3 linked regions of the Drosophila melanogaster genome follow. The protein of the gene in region 1 interacts with the protein of each later gene in a biochemical or structural test. Each region holds a gene or a part of one and is shown in the gene's direction. Other genes may lie near its edges.

Region 1 (6,488 bases):
ATATTCCTTCTGGCACAGCTCGTTCTCCAGAAGTTCGCACTCTTCGCGGCAAATGCGTTTTAGGTTCTCAGACTCTCTGGTTGGTGGGTATTTACTCGATATGTCTGTGCTGAACACATCCTCGTAGATGGTGGACTTCTTCTTGAATATGCTTATGTTCTTAATGTCCTTGGACTTGGTTCTCTTCCGTCGAATGCTGACGTTCTTCAGTTGCTTGGCATTTGTGGCCACGTTGGCGAAGTACAAGAGATTCGTGCGCTCTGGAGTCCGGCAAATTGGCATTGAACTGAAACACAAGCTGGGCAAAGCGTACATGCGGCAATTTGCGTTCATATCCCTGAAAATATGCACTTGGCATTAGCAACGGAATGTTGAAATAGTTATCATACTCACTTGGATTCCTTGATTACTCCATAAGCTGCCTTTAATCGCTCCTCCAAATCGTTCATGGTGAGATTGGGGGATACGAAAACATGGGCATTGCTCAAGACATCGCGACAAATGGTGCCATTGTAAATATGGCAAATACCTGATGATTGCTGGAAACTGCAGGGCAAATAATATATTGCATTTTTAAGGATTAAAAGGATAAGGGCGTCTAAAGATTTCTGCATTCGAGTATACACTATGTTTAGTAATTTAAAAATATATAAAACATGTTAAGCTCATGATTTCATTAATTATTAATTCCACACAAAAGTATTTCGCTAATTATTGTTGCGGAAACTTGGGAAAACTTTCAGTGAAAATACCTACCCATATATTCTTGAGTCCACATTATGGCTCCCCACATCCTTTTTTGTAAATAAAAGCACGAGCGAAATGCAGACTATAAATGCCGAGTATTTGTTCATATTGCTTAATCTAGCTAACAATATGAAGCCTTTTGTTATTTCAATAGTCCAATTGACATGCCAACGATTCCGAAAATATTTTTGTATTTATCCTTTCGCGAAAACTTTATGTGGCATACAACATTTCATCCCCCGACGAAGTCGTTGGGGTTGTTGACTCCTTATCGATGAATCGATATATTTAGGAGTGCTATGACTCGGAACAAAGGAATTACACTATAATTTCTTATAATTAATAATCCAAATATCTTCAAAAGCTTTATTTATTTTATTAAAGATGGTTGTATAACGACTTTAGTCTCATTTAAAGTACACTTTCCCTTTTCACAGTGAAATAAGGGTAGAAAAATTATGCGAAATACACAATAATATGAATTTAACATTAACAATGTATTTGGTTAAAGCATTTATCATAATGATCTAGAGATTATCTATTGCTTTCGGTGTTCCAATCGTAACTTATCGTTACTCCATGCTGTCGACAGTTTCCTCGGTAACAAAGCCCACAATGCTAAATGCAGTTTCCTCGCTGATCCACAGAAGTCCCACGATTAGTGCCTCCAACACTCCGATGGCAGCACCGGCGCAGATATCCAAAATATAATGACGCTGGAGGATGAGCCGTGAGATGGCCACGCTTACAGCCCAAGCTGTGACCGGCATTAGGAATATGATGTGAAGCGGATACAGCTTGGCGAAGAACAGCAGCACAAAGAACGCCCGGGAGGCATGACCTGAGGGAAAGCTGAACTTATCGGGTCCAATGGTCAGCATATCCTTGCTGGCCACCGGTCGCCTGCGACGAACAAGCGCCTTCAGCACGGCCACGATCACTACGTCGAGTATCAGGCCGAAGAGCATATTGACTTGCATTTGATACAAGCTCTTCGAGCTGAGCAACCAGATGAAGGCGATCCATGAGACAAACCAGGCGATTCCATCGCATGATATCTCCAGAAATCTGCTGTGGATCCGCAGGGATTTGAAGAACGACAGATTGGAGACGGCTACTACAAAATGCTTCGACACCTGAACATCCTTCTCCAATAGGTATTTAAGTGCTGGTGATGACTGCAAGGACAAGATTTTAAAATTAGCACTTATCAGCTTATGTGATTCATCAGTGGCCAAAAACCAACCGTCCTCATATCGCTGTGTATTTCAACTCTTTTGTTTTTATTTATTGTTAGTGATGACAGTATTTCTCATTCGTCATTCGATGTATACTCGATAAGTCGAGCAAAGGAATATCTAATGACCGGAACGGTGAAATGAAACACTGCGCCAACTTAGTTTTTGGTCTTTATTAAATAAATTGCATTTGTATATGTTTATTTGTAAGTTATTAACACTTATTAGGTTTTAAACCCCTAATTAAACCTAATTTTAATCAAAAGTCGATTGGCTGACTTTAGCCGTTTCTGGTTTTGGTCCTACTGCAATCTGGTCACATCGATTTAAGTAACTTTGTTGTGATCGAATATTCCAATAGATTTTCGTATATTGTATTGTATCCATGTACAATTATTCTCATGCGAAAGTGCCGCAGATAGTTGATTCTTAAATTTCAATAACATTAACATAGTTTAAAATGCTCGCCACTTTGAGTGCCCAGTGTGTAGAATAAAATAGAAAAAAAATCGATTTTATATTTTCACAAGAAATTCTGTACTTCTTCGTTAAATGGTAAATAAATATTCTATTACGTTCCATTCACATCAAATATCGAATCACCGAAACACTCCTGCAAAACGTGCCATAATCGATTGAAAGCAATTATAGTTGTGCCGGTTATGAAAAAAATTATTGATATTTAACATAAAATGTCAACTGCCCAAAGAGTGTATGTACCTATGTATGCGCAAATGTCTAACGTTTACATATCGACACTACCCGAAGCGTAGACCGCTTTATTATCTGCAGCGCAAACGAGCGCTTTTTCGATGTACGAATACGGGGAATATCTTTTATCTGAGAGATAGTTTGAAAAGTTACTAAATTATCGACCCACATTTGTGTGGCTGTATGTGCATATGTATGTATGTGGCTTACATCTTACACATATGTATACCAGTAGAAGTTTACAGTTTTCATCCGCATACAAATCGTGTGTATGTACATATTTACACAGGCAACGGCATGCATACACATGAACGCTATGTACATCGCTGTGGTCCAACATTCCGTACTTTTATGTTTAAGCCGGACATATCGATTTTAAATCGGTTTTTTTTCCTGTGCGTGCCGCTAAACACTTTGCTCAAAGAACGAAACGCTCGGTTATTTCTGTTGGGTGTTTTTCCAACCATATTCGACATGTGTTCGGCAAACATTTAAATGCTTATCAATAGAAAAGGGGGTTCGGCATTCGAAGTCGGCTCAAATAAGTGACTGCGTTATGCAATTGTATCTTTTTGAAGGAACTCGATATTTTTTGCTCGTGGTTTGGCAACAAACTCGCCACACACTAGCCAGTAAATTTCACCCCTCGCGACAACAGAGACCCACTTAATGGCCATAACATTCTGCCGAAATAAGGCCAGGCAAAGTTAATGTTTTCCTACCCCCTAATTCCAGACGAAGTTGTCTGAAAACTGCCTCCACCCATTCAGAATGGAGCCATACATACGGACGTCTTTGCTCCTTATATAAAACAGAATCACACTGTAAAACCGTATTGATTTATCTTATTTACCCTCTTGAAAAGGCCGATATGCTCCTTGCTCTCAACTAGTAATAAATAAAATCAGTGAACAATGACGACAGCTCAGCACCAACACTACACCGTCGAGGTGGGGGACACCAACTTCACCATCCACAGTCGGTACATTAATCTACGGCCCATAGGATCAGGTGCCCAAGGAATAGTATGGTAAGTGGTTATCAATATGTTATTACATATAATACATTTAACAATTTTTTGGCTTAAACAATTAAGATATTTCGCATGAGTATGAAGTCATATTTGTAACGCTCCATTGTATATTAGATTAGATTAGATGGGATTAGCTGGAATATGAAAAAAAAAAATAACAAATTTAATGCATTTCAGCGCCGCTTACGATACTATCACCCAGCAAAATGTGGCGATTAAGAAACTATCTCGACCATTCCAAAATGTAACCCATGCCAAGCGAGCATATAGGGAATTCAAGCTAATGAAGCTTGTTAACCATAAAAACGTATGAAACTTGCACCTTTAACTTTAACAAATTTCTACTAAACATAGGTATTTAATCCGTAGATAATTGGCTTACTTAATGCTTTTACGCCGCAAAGGAACTTGGAAGAGTTTCAGGATGTCTACCTGGTCATGGAGCTGATGGACGCTAATCTCTGCCAGGTCATCCAAATGGACTTGGATCACGACAGAATGTCCTATTTGCTTTATCAAATGTTGTGCGGAATAAAACATTTACACTCAGCAGGAATTATTCACAGAGTACGTACAGTATGAATACATCTTTAAAATGAGTATGAAATATATGAAATACTTCATTTGCAGGACTTAAAGCCATCCAATATAGTTGTAAAGGCCGACTGCACTCTAAAAATTTTGGATTTCGGTCTGGCACGTACTGCAGGAACTACCTTTATGATGACTCCCTATGTGGTCACCCGATATTACAGGGCTCCAGAGGTCATTTTGGGCATGGGATACACAGAGAACGTGGACATATGGTCCGTCGGTTGCATTATGGGCGAAATGATACGGGGCGGTGTGCTGTTTCCTGGAACGGATCATATAGATCAGTGGAATAAAATTATTGGTATGTTGCTGCTTAAATAACTTGATTCTCGTTATGATTGTCAACTTTTACGTTTTTTCAGAGCAATTAGGTACACCATCACCCTCGTTTATGCAACGGTTACAGCCAACCGTCCGAAACTATGTGGAAAATCGTCCTAGATACACTGGATACTCATTTGATAGACTTTTCCCCGATGGCTTGTTTCCAAATGATAATAATCAGAATAGCCGCCGGAAGGCTTCTGACGCTAGAAATCTTCTTAGTAAAATGCTAGTCATTGATCCAGAGCAGCGGATATCTGTGGACGAGGCTTTGAAGCATGAATATATCAACGTGTGGTATGATGCTGAGGAAGTGGATGCTGTAAGTGATTCTGGCATAAACTGGATTTCTAGGAATGTTGAATGTTTTTAATCGCTTAATTGCATGCATCTCTTGCAGCCCGCTCCGGAGCCATATGATCACAGCGTGGACGAAAGGGAACACACTGTGGAGCAGTGGAAGGAGCTAATCTATGAGGAAGTCATGGACTACGAAGCACACAATACAAATAATAGAACGCGGTAGAGAACGACTTTTTCCTCCTTAGTCAGTCACAAGAAAACTAAAGCTTACCAACAATACGGCGTGTATTGTTAAATTATTACAACAAATAAAATATTCAAATTGTATTTAAAAATATAGTAACCATTAAAAAATAAAATCAATATGCGAAACTTTGTAATTTCTTACTCATCCTTGTTTTTTGAGCCCGCTTTCTTAAGTTAAATCGTTAAAATACCAGTTTAATCATTTCATTGTCCTGATTTCAGGAGCTAATTACATTTTAATCTTTGTATAAATTCATAAAATTTAAATGGAAAAGTTTAACCATATAAATTATTTCGGTATATAAAGTCGATACATACTTTTAAAATTTTGTTTCATACAAGAATATGGAAAGTAGATAATTTAGTTACCGATAAAAACATTTCTAAAATACAAAAAATTTAAAATGATGATTAAATAAAAAACTGTTATACTAAATTTAAACGAAACAAACGGTCATTCGATAACTCAATTAGTATCGAATAAGCCGGCGTGTAAATCGGGCTGGCAACTCTCACCGGTGTAGAGATCGGGATGGCAACTTCGTACTGTTATTCCTATGCTGCGATAACGATAACAGCAAAGTGTCATCGCGAATAAATGTGGGTTTGATAATAAAGAATTGCGTTGGTGAACAATAATAATACAAATGCTAAATGTATCGCGCGGATAACTAGTAAACACTGATTTCGCGCATATCGGGCATACGGGCAGCTAGACGTCTTAGGTAACACATTTCCCAGCCACATTGGCGTTGAGGTATTATTTCCCATATCCATGTGCGTTTGTAAATGATACCACCAGAGTGTGCCATATGTATCGTTGTTTGTACATACATGCCTACGGGGAAAAATAACTCGCAGATACATATGTATGTAAGATGTATTAGAATTCCACAGATATATGTACATATAAATATATATATATATTTATGATGCTCATCTATAAAACAAAATATGTACAAACATACGCGCGCACGTACTTATGTATGTACATATGTACGTACATATATGTATAATAAAATGAGCATCTAGCTGCGGTTATCTTAATGCAATGCGCAGAAACCTGAAAACGAAATAAACAATCTTTACAGCGCCAGCACAGTGAGCCAATTATGAATTCACAATTCCACATCCAATTCCGATTCCGAATTCCATCGCTTTACATCCTAATTCGAATACGTCGCGCCGCGTAAGCTGCACTCGAATATTGACATAAACGACGTAATTGCGTGTTTTGATTGCGATTTCCGATGCTCGATGTTGACAGACGGCAAGGATTTTTTTTGCCAGCC
Region 2 (6,493 bases), on another chromosome or scaffold:
CGAATGAGGAAAAGTCACGGGACTAGGGTTGGTGGACAGACAGCCAGACATTGCGCTTGACTTTCAAATTCAGGCGTTTAATTTATGCTGGTACAGCAGTAACTAGTGTACCGTAAGGAAAACCTAGTGAAACCCTTGTTGGAATCGGGAAACTCCCGTTGGATAAAATCAATATGAAGTTAAAAGAAGTGCAGAGCGTGCGACATTGAGAGTGGTCAAATAAATGAGTTCCTAGGTAGTTGGCCAAGTCAAGTCGAGCTATAAAGGAAAAGCGCTTTCCAGCCAACCACTTGATGCTTCCACAGAGTCAATAGTAGATAAATGGCAATTTCTTTCCGCCCGCTTCTTTGGGCCTTTGTTTGAGCTTCGAGAAAAGCAAATAGCGCCAGGGGAGACGGAAAAGATGGGAAAAGCGTTGGGTGGGCCGGGTGGTCAGGCTGGGAGCCAGAGTCACTGCCACTTGACTATTAAAATATGCGAAAGGCCCACTAAACACATGCGTGGGCAGCGCTTCACCCCAACTCATCAGCTGAGGCGATTAACTTAATGGTGCTGGCTAACTGATTGACCGACAAACGACTGGCTCCCAGGAGCCATCCACTTTCTATTTGCCCACGAGCTAAAGGATTTATGGTTGCCCCAAGGGATGCAGGATGTCCCCCACTCCGCCGATGTGAAGGCAGCCAGACGGAGATGAAGCCCGGAACGGAGTCGAGGTCACGATGAATGGCAGCTCTTGATTTCGGAATAATTAACTTAGACATCTAATTTGAATGGGGGTCTAAACTGTGACTCGGTTTTAATTCGGGAATTGGAAAGGGTAATTTGATCAACACTTAAGAAACAACATTTACATGTGTCTGCTTTAAGAACGTACTTTTTAAGATTTTAGAGTGTTTCTGAACTATTTGTTTTTTTTTATATATTTATAGTATATAGTATAGTATATATAGTATACAGTACATAGTAATTACCTTTCTATATATTATGAATTCGTTGAAAAATTGCAATGACTAATTTTGTTCGCTGTCGCTTATCTTTGATTTATTTGTCCGCACATTTCTTTGTTTAATTACAAATGTCGTACCAGATATTTACTTTTATTTATGTATATATCGTGAATCAACGTATCAAAAAGTATAAACGTATAAAAAGTGTTTATTAGATTGCAAAACAATTACATTTTGAAATGTCCATGGTTAAGAGACTTGAATTAAACAAAGCAATCATCGATCGGGGGCAGGTATCCACTGCAGTAGTGCCAGGTGGACCAGGCTGACCAGCCCTGTTGACCCAGGACCTTTAGGGCACATCTTACGGAACTTTTGATGTCATCGGTCAAGAGAGCGTTGCAACTCACATCGCAGCCATTGTGGGAGAACTTTCCACTGGACGGCTGGCACCAGTACATGTCGTTGATCTGGAAAATGCCATAGTCGTTGGATCCATCGGTGTTGGGAGGCCCCACCACTCCGGTGCGGTAGGAGCTCTCGTGCTCTGCAATGCACGCCCACTTGGACAACTGGTCACGAGAAACACCCATATTGGCCATCTCGCGCGCCAGTGAGCAGCGATCCATGGTGCGACCCAGGACAGCTGGAGTGACTAGTGCCAGGACACAGATTCCTAGGAGGGCTCTCATGGCGAATTGGTTGGATGTCGATGAAGTACTGCGTGGCTAAAGACTGTTCATTCTTTTATACCCGGGGAAATAAAAAAAATCTGATTAAAGATAAGAACTATATTCTATACAAAGAAGAAACCAGCGGTTCTTATTATTGAGGGTATTCAACTAAATCTGGGCTTTCTGGGCACACCTCACAGACTGGATGATGTCGTCTTTGAGCATGTCGTTGCAGCTCGTGTGGCAACCGTTGTGTGAGAACTTTGAACATTGGACCGGATCACCTGAGTTAGTGGTAAGAAAATTTCTTAGGAAAATTATAGGTACCTTTAGATTGTCTGATTTGACTAGGCAACAGAAAAATGCATATCTTGTAGGTAAGTTATGGCAGACTGACGATTTCCATTTCCCCATTTACATTTATCAGTTGGGGTGGCGATTACATCTCCTATCGTATCTTATAATATAAAATAATATAATATAATATAATATATTATAATATAATATATTATAATATAATATATTATAATATAATATAATATAATTGCTGTTTTAGATAGATAATGACCAACCTTATTCATAATTTTATAATTTTCTAAATTAATTGATAGATAGTTTTTGTACTTTTAAAATTAATTAAATAATTTTCGAAATTGCATTTTGTGAAATGAAGACTGATTCGTTCGTACACATTTACTATAAAAATATATGCCCGATAAGAAATCCCCAGCCGGGGGAAATCCCCATTTTCTAGATCCGCCCCTGGCTGTTCGTGCCAAAGCGCAACAGCATTGCAATTCGCAAGTCACCACCATTGGAAACGGGGAGCGGAAGTGACTCACTGCGCAGGCGCGCTTCCTGTCAACCCCCAGGACAGAGTGAATGCCGCTGACCCCCCAACCTTTGCCCTGCCAGCGGTAAACAAAAACAAGTTTGGCTTACCAGCGAGAGAGAGAGAGAGAAATAAAGAGAGAGCTTGCGGATGACAGCTGAAAGTCCCGAATTTCCCTGGCTTGGGCCTCCACTATTTCTGATTTGGCACCACTCACATCTGGAATTCAGACGGGGGCACGCCAGCAACGTCAAGGAAATTATCGATTTTCGCATGTGAAGTGAAAAAAGTGACTCCGTTGGCAAAAAACTGTAGCGCGAGCAGGACTCCAGTGAAAATCTAACCAAAAGCAGTTCACACGGACTAACTAAAAGCCCCAGCTAGCCTGTAGTGGAGGGCGTGGCAGCTGGTCGGACCCTGGTCCCCAAACGACATGGCCGACAGCGAATTCGAGGAGTTCCACAGGCCCATATTTGAGCCACATACGATTGCTGGATTCGGATCAGGAGCAGGCAGCAAGAAGAATAATCCACATGCATTTTACTCGTAAGTTGAAAGGTGAAAGGCTGTGGTAAGAAGCAATCTGGCGAAGCTTGCTGTAGCCAAGACGTGTGCACGTGTCCTGAAGAGCACCCCTTGAAACTGGTTGGGTATCCTTGAAGGGAACTGTTCGCAACAGAAATCACAAAAGTCACTGATGGAACTGTTTAAAAGTATGCAACGAATTGTGTGCATGCCTTTGGACATTCTTATGAATTATTCCAAACTCGCTGTGATTTCTGTGCGATGGCATGAGTTCAGTTTCATCAGTAAAGCCCTTTTCACAGCTTAATTCCCAACGATGACCTGGAGGACTCGCACTCCTCGAAGAGCGATGGCGACGGTTCGGATCAGGAGGATGGCATTGGTCTTGTGGATCACGAGCCCAAGATGCGTCAAGTGGAGGACGATGAGCTGGGCGACGGGCTGAAAGTCACTCTGTCCTCGGACGGCTCGCTGGACACCAACGACTCGTTTAATTCGCACCGACATCATCCGTTGAACCACCAGGATGCGATTGGTGGCTTCCTGGGCATGGACACCAGTGGATTGGGTGGCAATAGTGCACCTGTGACCATTGGAGCCAGCACAGATCTGCTGGCACCCAATACAGCTGCCACGCGACGTCGTCGCAAGTTGCCGGAAATACCGAAAAACAAGAAATGTAAGTTTATTGAAAACTTAGTTCCTGGCTAGAGTATCCTGCATGCAAGTAGTTTCAGGGGCTATGCCGGTTTTCAAAACTAGTATTTGGTTTTCCACAACACATCTATTCGTCATATCCTATTTTGGGAGCCGGATAGTCCTTCTTAACATCCCTTCGTAGTTTCGGGCTAACCCACTCATGGCCTCGTTGCAGCTTCCATTCTGCATCTTCTAGGTGGCTCCAACTTTGGCTCCCTGGCGGATGAGTTCCGCAACGGTGGTGGTGGAGGAATCCCTCCAGCAGTTCGCAGTGGACAACAGCGCTCATTTCTGTCCCTCAAATGCGGCTACTTGATGGACGAGGACTCCAGTCCGGATTCGGAAAGGATGCAGAGTCTGGGCGACGTGGACAGTGGTCACAGCACGGCGCATTCGCCCAACGACTTTAAGAGCATGTCGCCGCAGATCACGTCTCCCGTTTCGCAGTCCCCCTTTCCGCCTCCCTTTGGGGGCGTGCCCTTTGGCCAGCTGGAGATGCTGGAGGCCACTCACCGTGGTCTGCACAAGTTTGTGCCGCGGCACCACGACGAGATCGAGCTGGAGATCGGCGACGCCATCTACGTGCAAAAGGAGGCCGAGGACCTGTGGTGCGAGGGTGTGAATCTCCGCACCGGAAGGCAGGGCATCTTCCCCTCGGCCTACGCCGTGGACCTGGACTACAACGAGTTCGATCCCACAGTGCAGCTGGTGAAGAAGGAGCGCTATCTGCTGGGCTACCTCGGATCCGTGGAGACGCTGGCGCACAAGGGCACCGGAGTCGTTTGCCAGGCGGTGCGCAAGATTGTCGGGGAGTACGGCAACTCACCGACCGGACAGACGTGCATCCTGGAGGTTTCCGACCAGGGACTTCGCATGGTGGATCGATCGGGCCCGAATGTGAGTAGGATACATACATATATACATCTTCATTAATAACCGATATAAAAACCGATTTCGTGAAACAGCAAAACAAAAAGGACAAGAAACCTTGCATCGACTACTTCTACTCCCTGAAGAACGTCTCCTTCTGCGCATTTCACCCTCGCGATCACCGCTTCATTGGCTTCATCACCAAACATCCCACGGTTCAGCGGTTCGCCTGCCACGTCTTCAAGGGCTCGGAGTCGACCAGACCGGTGGCCGAGGCAGTGGGGTGAGTCCTCAAGCAGTCATCCCCCCAAAACAAACGCTCGAATAACATGTTAACACTCCTTCTTTCAGCCGTGCTTTCCAGCGATTCTATCAGAAATTCATTGAAACCGCTTATCCCATCGAGGACATCTACATTGAGTAGGCTTGCAAGGCGGTTTGTGCATTAATCAATACGATATATTTTTTGTGCGGTTATTACGAATAAAAGCAAAGATAAGTCTCAAGAATATTTGCTCTTCTTCAAAGAGAATCTCAAAGCAAAATCAATAAGCTCGCAATAGAAACCCTAGCTATAGATTATTATCATTTATCCGTTTTGAACAAATGTGCAAGATCTTAGACATGTAAATAGTTAGTTAACTTTCGTTCAAAATCCCCACTTCACACTCACACTCACACTGAGCTTCAAGCAATCAGCAATAGTTGCCCCCTCTATAGGAACCGCCTTTAAACTCGAGTTCACTGGATATATGGACAGAAGCAAAAGAACACCTTGAACACCTTGAATTTTGTATCGGGAGTCAGTTGGGTCAGTTGGGTCTATTGTAAATCGGAGATAAGCAATTTGGATTGGTTATAGATATCCAGACCCTCCTGTAACCACATCCTTAACCTGGCAATGCACAAAATAGAGTGAGGCCAAAGTAATTTAGCGATCTTCGTGTAACCTTAGTTTAGTTATGCCAATCTTTCAGTTACCAGAGACTCAACAATATCGAACACCAGCTGCTACGTTTTGAAGTATTCTCAATTAAAGCCCAGTATAAGATGTGTAAACCTTTAAAGTTGTGTACACGCAGGCGAATATATACTGTATATGTATACAAAAGAAATATATAAAGAACCTATAAATCAAACTATATTGGATTATTGGGTGCTCAAGGAAGAAAGGTGAGTTTTATTAGTAAGAGAATGTAAGCCCTTTCATCTTATATTGTAGAACTTACCCAAAAGTATGCACTTAAGCTCAATTTATAGCAAGTTGATAGAATCCCGAAATGATGGTAGATAATATTTAGCAGCCTAAAAGATAACTTATAATTTGTAAAGTAAATTATTTTACACATAAAACATGTGAGTTTATCTCTCGCGGGAAATGAATTGGTGATTTGCATAAAATTACACGACAAGACAAGATAATACTAATCGGCTATATGAAGGCAATGGCCAATTGCAGTTTAGTTTTAAGATTAACTTGTGATGACTTGTTTTGAGCGGGCCATGGAATGGAATGATGGCCCAGAAGTTCCCATTCGGATTCCACATTAGTTTTATTTCACCGCACATTTACCAATGCGGATCTACGCCGGAAAAAGAAACAATCGCACATTAATGAAAACGCCCAGGGAGTGGAGAATAAATGGCCGAGCCATTAAAATGGCGATACATCAGTTAGCCTGGGGGCATCAATCATTATGCAATTTTCGCGAAGCCGGCCAGCAGCTTTGGGCCACTTTCTTCGGAGGTGGTTCAGTGAACGGGTTGTGGCGGTGGGCCTGGTCGGATCTGCCTTTGGGCAAAGTGCTCTAACAGGAGCAGCGACTAAGACTAACTAGTTCGTGTCGCTTTTAATGGAAATGGATACCCGAAGTAGCCTTGGCAGCGACTTTGGCTGGGTTTCGGTGTGGGAACTGGTTTCGGGGTTGGGAAAATCGCGCGGC
Region 3 (5,317 bases), on another chromosome or scaffold:
CCACTGTGGGTCACCTGATGCTCCGTGCCAAGAAGTCCATAGATTGGTCACAATACTTCGGTCTGGATCGCAAAAAGAAGTCCTTGCAGAAGAAAGAGTGAGTTTTAATGGGACTTAAACATTTCTTATACACTTAATAAATGTAATTCCTAACAGAAACCTAAAGAAACGCAGCGACACGGATAGTAGCACCAATAATGATGAGGAAGATGACGAAGATGACAGCTCCGAGGCGGAGAAAAAGAAGCGTGACTTCGATGCCGAAAAGCTGGACAGCATGGACAAGAAGCTGCAGTCCATCGAGGACTTCATCATCGACGAGACCATCAAGTATACGGGTGCACACGAGGGACTCAACAGCAAGGACGACATCCGCAGAATCAAGGACCATGTCCTCTCGCGCTTGGCAACCGCTTACAGTCTGGAGAAAATGCGCAGGGCTCTGGATAAGTTAAGGAGATCAGTGGACAACGAGAGTCACCTGATGCGCAATACCATCGAACCGGAATCCGAGGAGAACGCGTTGGACTCCAATTACTGGTTGAACAAAAAGTCGGTGAAGAAGGAGCAGGCAGATCAACTGGCAGAGTAAATGAAAATGCCCTTAAATTTACATTATTTCGATGTGTTTATTTCTCAAATCCTCCAGAGACTCGAGACCACCCAAGGACATGGAAAAGAGGAAGCGCAGTGGTTACTTGCGCTATCCGGAGCAGCCAAATACCATGGAGGAGGCACTCAGCCTGGGCAGCGCTCCCTACGAGACCCTAAACGACGCCTATCTGGGCAACAAGAACTACATTGTGGGCTCCAACCAGTGCCCCATTATCGAGTCCATGGCGGAGCGCTGTCGGGGCGTCGATCTCATCTCCGGAGACATTAACCAGGAGCTCCTGCCCCTCTGCGGTGTTCACCAGATATGCTATCTATGTGTAAGTGAAAACAGGATGCCTGAGTCGAGTATGGTTAACTATAGTTTACCCATTGCATTTCCGTTTCCAGGGTGCCTCACAGGTAGCCTGCGACTATCAGTACTTGGCGGAGGCGGATAGCGTTTGCGGCGACAGCAACGACTGCCAGTCGGCGGCCCGTTCCATCCTGATGATCCTGCGGGGATCACACGGCCGGCAGCTGGGTCCTAGGGAGTGCTTGAAGAATCCCTGCTTGTACAGGGCCATGCGGGAGATTGGGCTTTAAGCGAACTGCTCCGAATTGCCGCCCAGTGTTTTCCTAACGTCTCTTTTGTGTGCGTTTAAAAAGAAAATCATAAATCGAAAATGAAAATGACAACCCCGCAATGCAAAGCAGAGAGAGAGAGAGAGAGAAGATAACAATATGAGCCCAAAAAACCAATATAAAAACCTTGCTGAACTGGCAAAAATCAAACAAACGATTGATTCAAAACCAAATAGTCGTCGCATACAATGACATAATATTTTGATGGATTTTCCTGACCGCCTCGCGAGGCGGCAGCAGCCAACTAGAGTTTACCAGATACCTAAAGAGATGCATATAGATATACATACAATTTGGATTCAGTTAATCGCAGTAGACGCCCGATGCGGCCCGATTTATTTGGTTTAAGTGTTCAGCGTAAAATGGAATTTTTCGAAACATATTTGCACGTTTTATGGGTGTTTAAGTGTACAAACGTGATCATAGACGAAACATAACACACATACATATGCTTAACCAAGACATACAAGTATTTAATCCACAGCCAGCTTTTTAAGTAACTCAACTCGCTTGACATTCTAAGCAAAATGAAAGGCAGAGCTCACATTGGCAGCTAGTCCTCCAAAGTCACCGTCAGAATTCTTCTATTCGGTTTGACTTGGATGTGTGCACATACATACGTGCGTGTGCCATACCATAATACACTATACACATTATACATATATAACGATTTTAGCCTACACCGGGAAAAAAACTATGTATCTTTGCGAACGCCAAATGCAGAGCAACTAACTATAGTATCTGAGACTTCTCTCTCCGCATTACTTGTCTACAGATGAACATATACATTAATGTGTTTCAACGTGCTTACAATAAATGGACATAACTAAGACAAATATTTGAAGCTCTAACAAATCTATAGATGTGATTATTAATATATACAAGGAGTTTAATAAATGTGTAAATCTTTTAGGGCCAGCATATATACCAATCTGAACAACAGCAAGACGTTTGGTTGCGAAATCAAAATATTATTAATGTATTTACATAAACGAACAAATATATATATTTAAACTTGATGTATATGCTACAGTTTGAAAAACAAAACAAAACAGAACAAAAACCCATATTTGAAAATATTTATTGCTATACAGTTATCATAAATGTCGAATATAAATATATCGGGAATATCCCAAAAACGTATGGCCTTTTTTCTCGGATGTTTTCAAATTATTTGCGAATGTTCCGAGTTAAGTGTCATATTTTGTTTCCCCTTTTCAATTGTAACTCGCAAAATCACAAAATCATGAGCATCAGTGTTTTCCTGGAGTTCCTGACATAATGGATCCGTCTGGACAGTTTGTGGTTCCCCAAGTGCGAAAACAATATCTTAACCAGACCGAAAAATATATTTCCTTTCCTATTTACCGACGCCCAGGAGTGATAAAGAGATCTATTGCATCTTCTTTTACTGCCAAACATCAAGAAAATTTCAAGAAAAACATGAAAGACTAGCGACGGCCTTGTTTCCATTCACCTTTCATAATGATTTAGTAAATGTTAAAAAAAACCTATATTGTATTTTATTAACTTAGCTACCGGTAATGGTTTGTGTCACTGCTAAGCTTCTTGCTTGAGTCAATGCTGCCCATTGTTTAAACATCGCATTTAAAGACCAGTATCGATAGCAATATCGAATAAATAATCGACACTTGTACCACCGCTAGCACTCATTCTGAAAACAACCTTGCGCGTAATAAATATTTTCGTAAAATTATTTAGCGAAACCAAAATAAAAATCAAACGATTCGTTGGCCGATAAAACCGGTGATTAAGCAGTGGCAGTGCAGAAAGCAGAAAACACAAAAGTACAGATTGTGCTAATCAAATTTTGCAAGCAAAGTTCCCACCCACTGGTGAGTAAGAAGAAGAGCGAGTTATTCGCATGACTCATCGCGAAACGAGTTTTTATCAGATTGTTTTCATTCCGTTTTCGTCTCTTTCACTTCATCCGAATCAGATTGACGTCATTGCTTGAGCAAACATGAAAACCCCCGTTTCCGCTGCTGCGAACTTAAGTATTCAGAATGCTGGCAGTTCCGGAGCAACTGCCATTCAGATCATACCTAAAACCGAGCCCGTTGGAGAAGAAGGCCCCATGTCACTGGACTTTCAGTCGCCGAACCTGAACACATCCACCCCGAATCCTAACAAGCGTCCCGGCTCGCTGGATCTGAACAGCAAGAGTGCCAAGAACAAGCGCATCTTCGCACCACTGGTCATCAACTCACCGGATCTGTCATCCAAGACGGTAAACACACCCGATTTGGAGAAGATCCTGCTATCCAACAATCTGATGCAAACACCGCAGCCGGGAAAGGTGTTCCCCACCAAGGCGGGGCCCGTCACCGTGGAGCAGTTGGACTTCGGCAGGGGATTCGAGGAGGCCTTACACAATCTTCACACTAACTCCCAGGCATTTCCGTCCGCCAATTCCGCCGCTAATTCCGCCGCCAATAACACAACTGCGGCAGCCATGACAGCGGTGAACAATGGCATCAGCGGAGGCACCTTCACCTACACCAACATGACCGAGGGCTTCTCGGTGATTAAGGACGAGCCCGTCAATCAAGCCAGCTCGCCCACCGTTAATCCCATTGACATGGAAGCGCAGGAGAAGATCAAGCTGGAGCGCAAGAGGCAGCGTAACCGTGTGGCTGCATCCAAGTGCCGCAAGCGCAAGTTGGAGCGCATCTCAAAGCTGGAGGATCGCGTGAAGGTACTTAAGGGCGAGAACGTCGACCTGGCTAGCATCGTGAAGAACCTCAAGGACCATGTGGCGCAGCTGAAGCAGCAGGTGATGGAGCACATTGCCGCGGGCTGCACGGTGCCGCCGAACTCGACAGACCAATAACATTTGGAGTTGTCAGCCGGGGAGAATGATGAGGAGGACGTGGCACTGGAGACTGAAACCCCCTCGAATCCTGAAGATCCCGAGCAACCCATGCCTCTGGAATTCTTTTCAAGTGCTAGCACCGGTGCCTTGGAGCTGGAGGGCTCGGCCTCTCAGGATATTTCCCTAACTAACAGCGAACTCCTGGAGGAGGAGAGCGATAACGAACAGCCTCTGGTGCTCTACATCCTCGCGGACGACGCAACCTGAGGCTTTGTGCCTTTCTTTGGTTTTAGCTGCAATATCTGAAATGCTTCTTAAGTGTTTTGTTTACTTAGTTATTAGTATAAGCTAGTGTTAATCAAGTATTATCTGTGTTGAACGTAAGATAATATGTAATGTACTTTTAAAATATACGTATATTTTCTGCACTTGATATATACATAAAAAAATTATTTCTACGCCTTAAACTTATTTATTCATCATCCTCCTCTTCGTCATCATCGTCGTCGTTGTCATCCATGGCCTCGGCCTCGGCCTCCTCTTCCATTGCGCTATCAGCCTGTTCCTCGTCGTTCACATCATCCTCGACATGCAGCTGGAAGCCTTCGCTTTTTGTCCACGAGCACTTCATGGTCAGCCGAAATTTGGCCATGGGCTTGCCCACCAGCTTGAGGATTCTCGCCTGTTCGGGTGTTAGAACTTTGCCCTCCTCACAAACCGTGTAGTCACTGTACAGCGTAACGATTCCCTTCTCCAATTTGGTGGGCAGGCCCAGGGAACGCAGATGCGGTTCCATAGAGTGGGCGAAGTCCTCTAGGGGACCTGCTGGCAGGGTAACCGTTTCCGTGGCCACAAAGCCACTGCGTGCGTATTCCACGGCCCAGTAGTTTTCTGCCCACTCCAGGACTTCCTCCTTGGATTTGTCCGTGAAAAGCAGTCCCACCTGGCCAGTTAATCGCTTGGATAGCTAATAGACATAGCCTGTGATTAGTGTCTGATATATGTTAATCCACTTAAACTTAATTACCTTGTGCAATTCCGGCTCCACTTCCTCGCTCTTCGTGCGACCCAAGCCAATCTGCATAACACGATTCTTGCCAAAGATAAAACGAGAATTCTTTTTCAACTCCTGTCGCAGATCCTTCAGCAAGCTATTCCTCATGTTCTGAACTTGGAAAACGAATATATTTGGGTATTTGCCCACGCAGAACCGAATGTCGTCCACAATGCGCTGTTTCCAAGCCA

Evidence for each region. Proteins that work in one complex are often made in the same cells at the same time.
Region 2: the proteins of bsk (region 1) and Aplip1 form a complex in vitro, tested with the Drosophila melanogaster proteins (one study listed by BioGRID).
Region 3: of the proteins of bsk (region 1) and Jra, one has a biochemical effect on the other in vitro, tested with the Drosophila melanogaster proteins (2 studies listed by BioGRID).

Annotation. Positions count from the first base shown.
Region 1 is NT_033779.5:10,246,333-10,252,820, reverse strand, and holds bsk (basket), read left to right. Parts: upstream 1-2,319; 5' UTR 2,320-2,540; intron 2,541-3,078; exon of another isoform or gene 3,079-3,561; 5' UTR 3,562-3,610; coding exon 3,611-3,726; intron 3,727-3,906; coding exon 3,907-4,036; intron 4,037-4,098; coding exon 4,099-4,296; intron 4,297-4,359; coding exon 4,360-4,624; intron 4,625-4,685; coding exon 4,686-4,969; intron 4,970-5,047; coding exon 5,048-5,173; 3' UTR 5,174-5,319; downstream 5,320-6,488. Other genes in the region: Ror, read right to left, coding at 1-337, 394-546, 757-854; CG31717 (uncharacterized protein), read right to left, coding at 1,320-1,925, 1,994-2,002. UniProt on the Drosophila melanogaster protein: Mitogen-activated protein kinase and key component of the c-Jun N-terminal kinase (JNK) pathway which phosphorylate and activate transcription factors involved in a wide range of biological processes including response to various stresses, cellular proliferation, differentiation and migration, and regulation of cell shape.
Region 2 is NT_037436.4:1,193,654-1,200,146, forward strand, and holds Aplip1 (APPL-interacting protein 1), read left to right. Parts: upstream 1-2,663; 5' UTR 2,664-2,889; coding exon 2,890-3,002; intron 3,003-3,283; coding exon 3,284-3,660; intron 3,661-3,855; coding exon 3,856-4,577; intron 4,578-4,645; coding exon 4,646-4,833; intron 4,834-4,901; coding exon 4,902-4,974; 3' UTR 4,975-5,686; downstream 5,687-6,493. Other genes in the region: LysX (lysozyme X), read right to left, coding at 1,214-1,642. UniProt on the Drosophila melanogaster protein: The JNK-interacting protein (JIP) group of scaffold proteins selectively mediates JNK signaling by aggregating specific components of the MAPK cascade to form a functional JNK signaling module.
Region 3 is NT_033778.4:10,094,047-10,099,363, forward strand, and holds Jra (Jun-related antigen), read left to right. Parts: upstream 1-2,433; 5' UTR 2,434-2,550; intron 2,551-2,881; exon of another isoform or gene 2,882-2,958; 5' UTR 2,959-3,092; intron 3,093-3,196; 5' UTR 3,197-3,220; coding exon 3,221-4,090; coding exon of another isoform or gene 4,091-4,339; 3' UTR 4,340-4,510; downstream 4,511-5,317. Other genes in the region: CG2269 (uncharacterized protein), read left to right, coding at 1-97, 157-588, 650-932, 1,003-1,197; RpLP0-like (ribosomal protein LP0-like), read right to left, coding at 4,545-5,039, 5,100-5,317.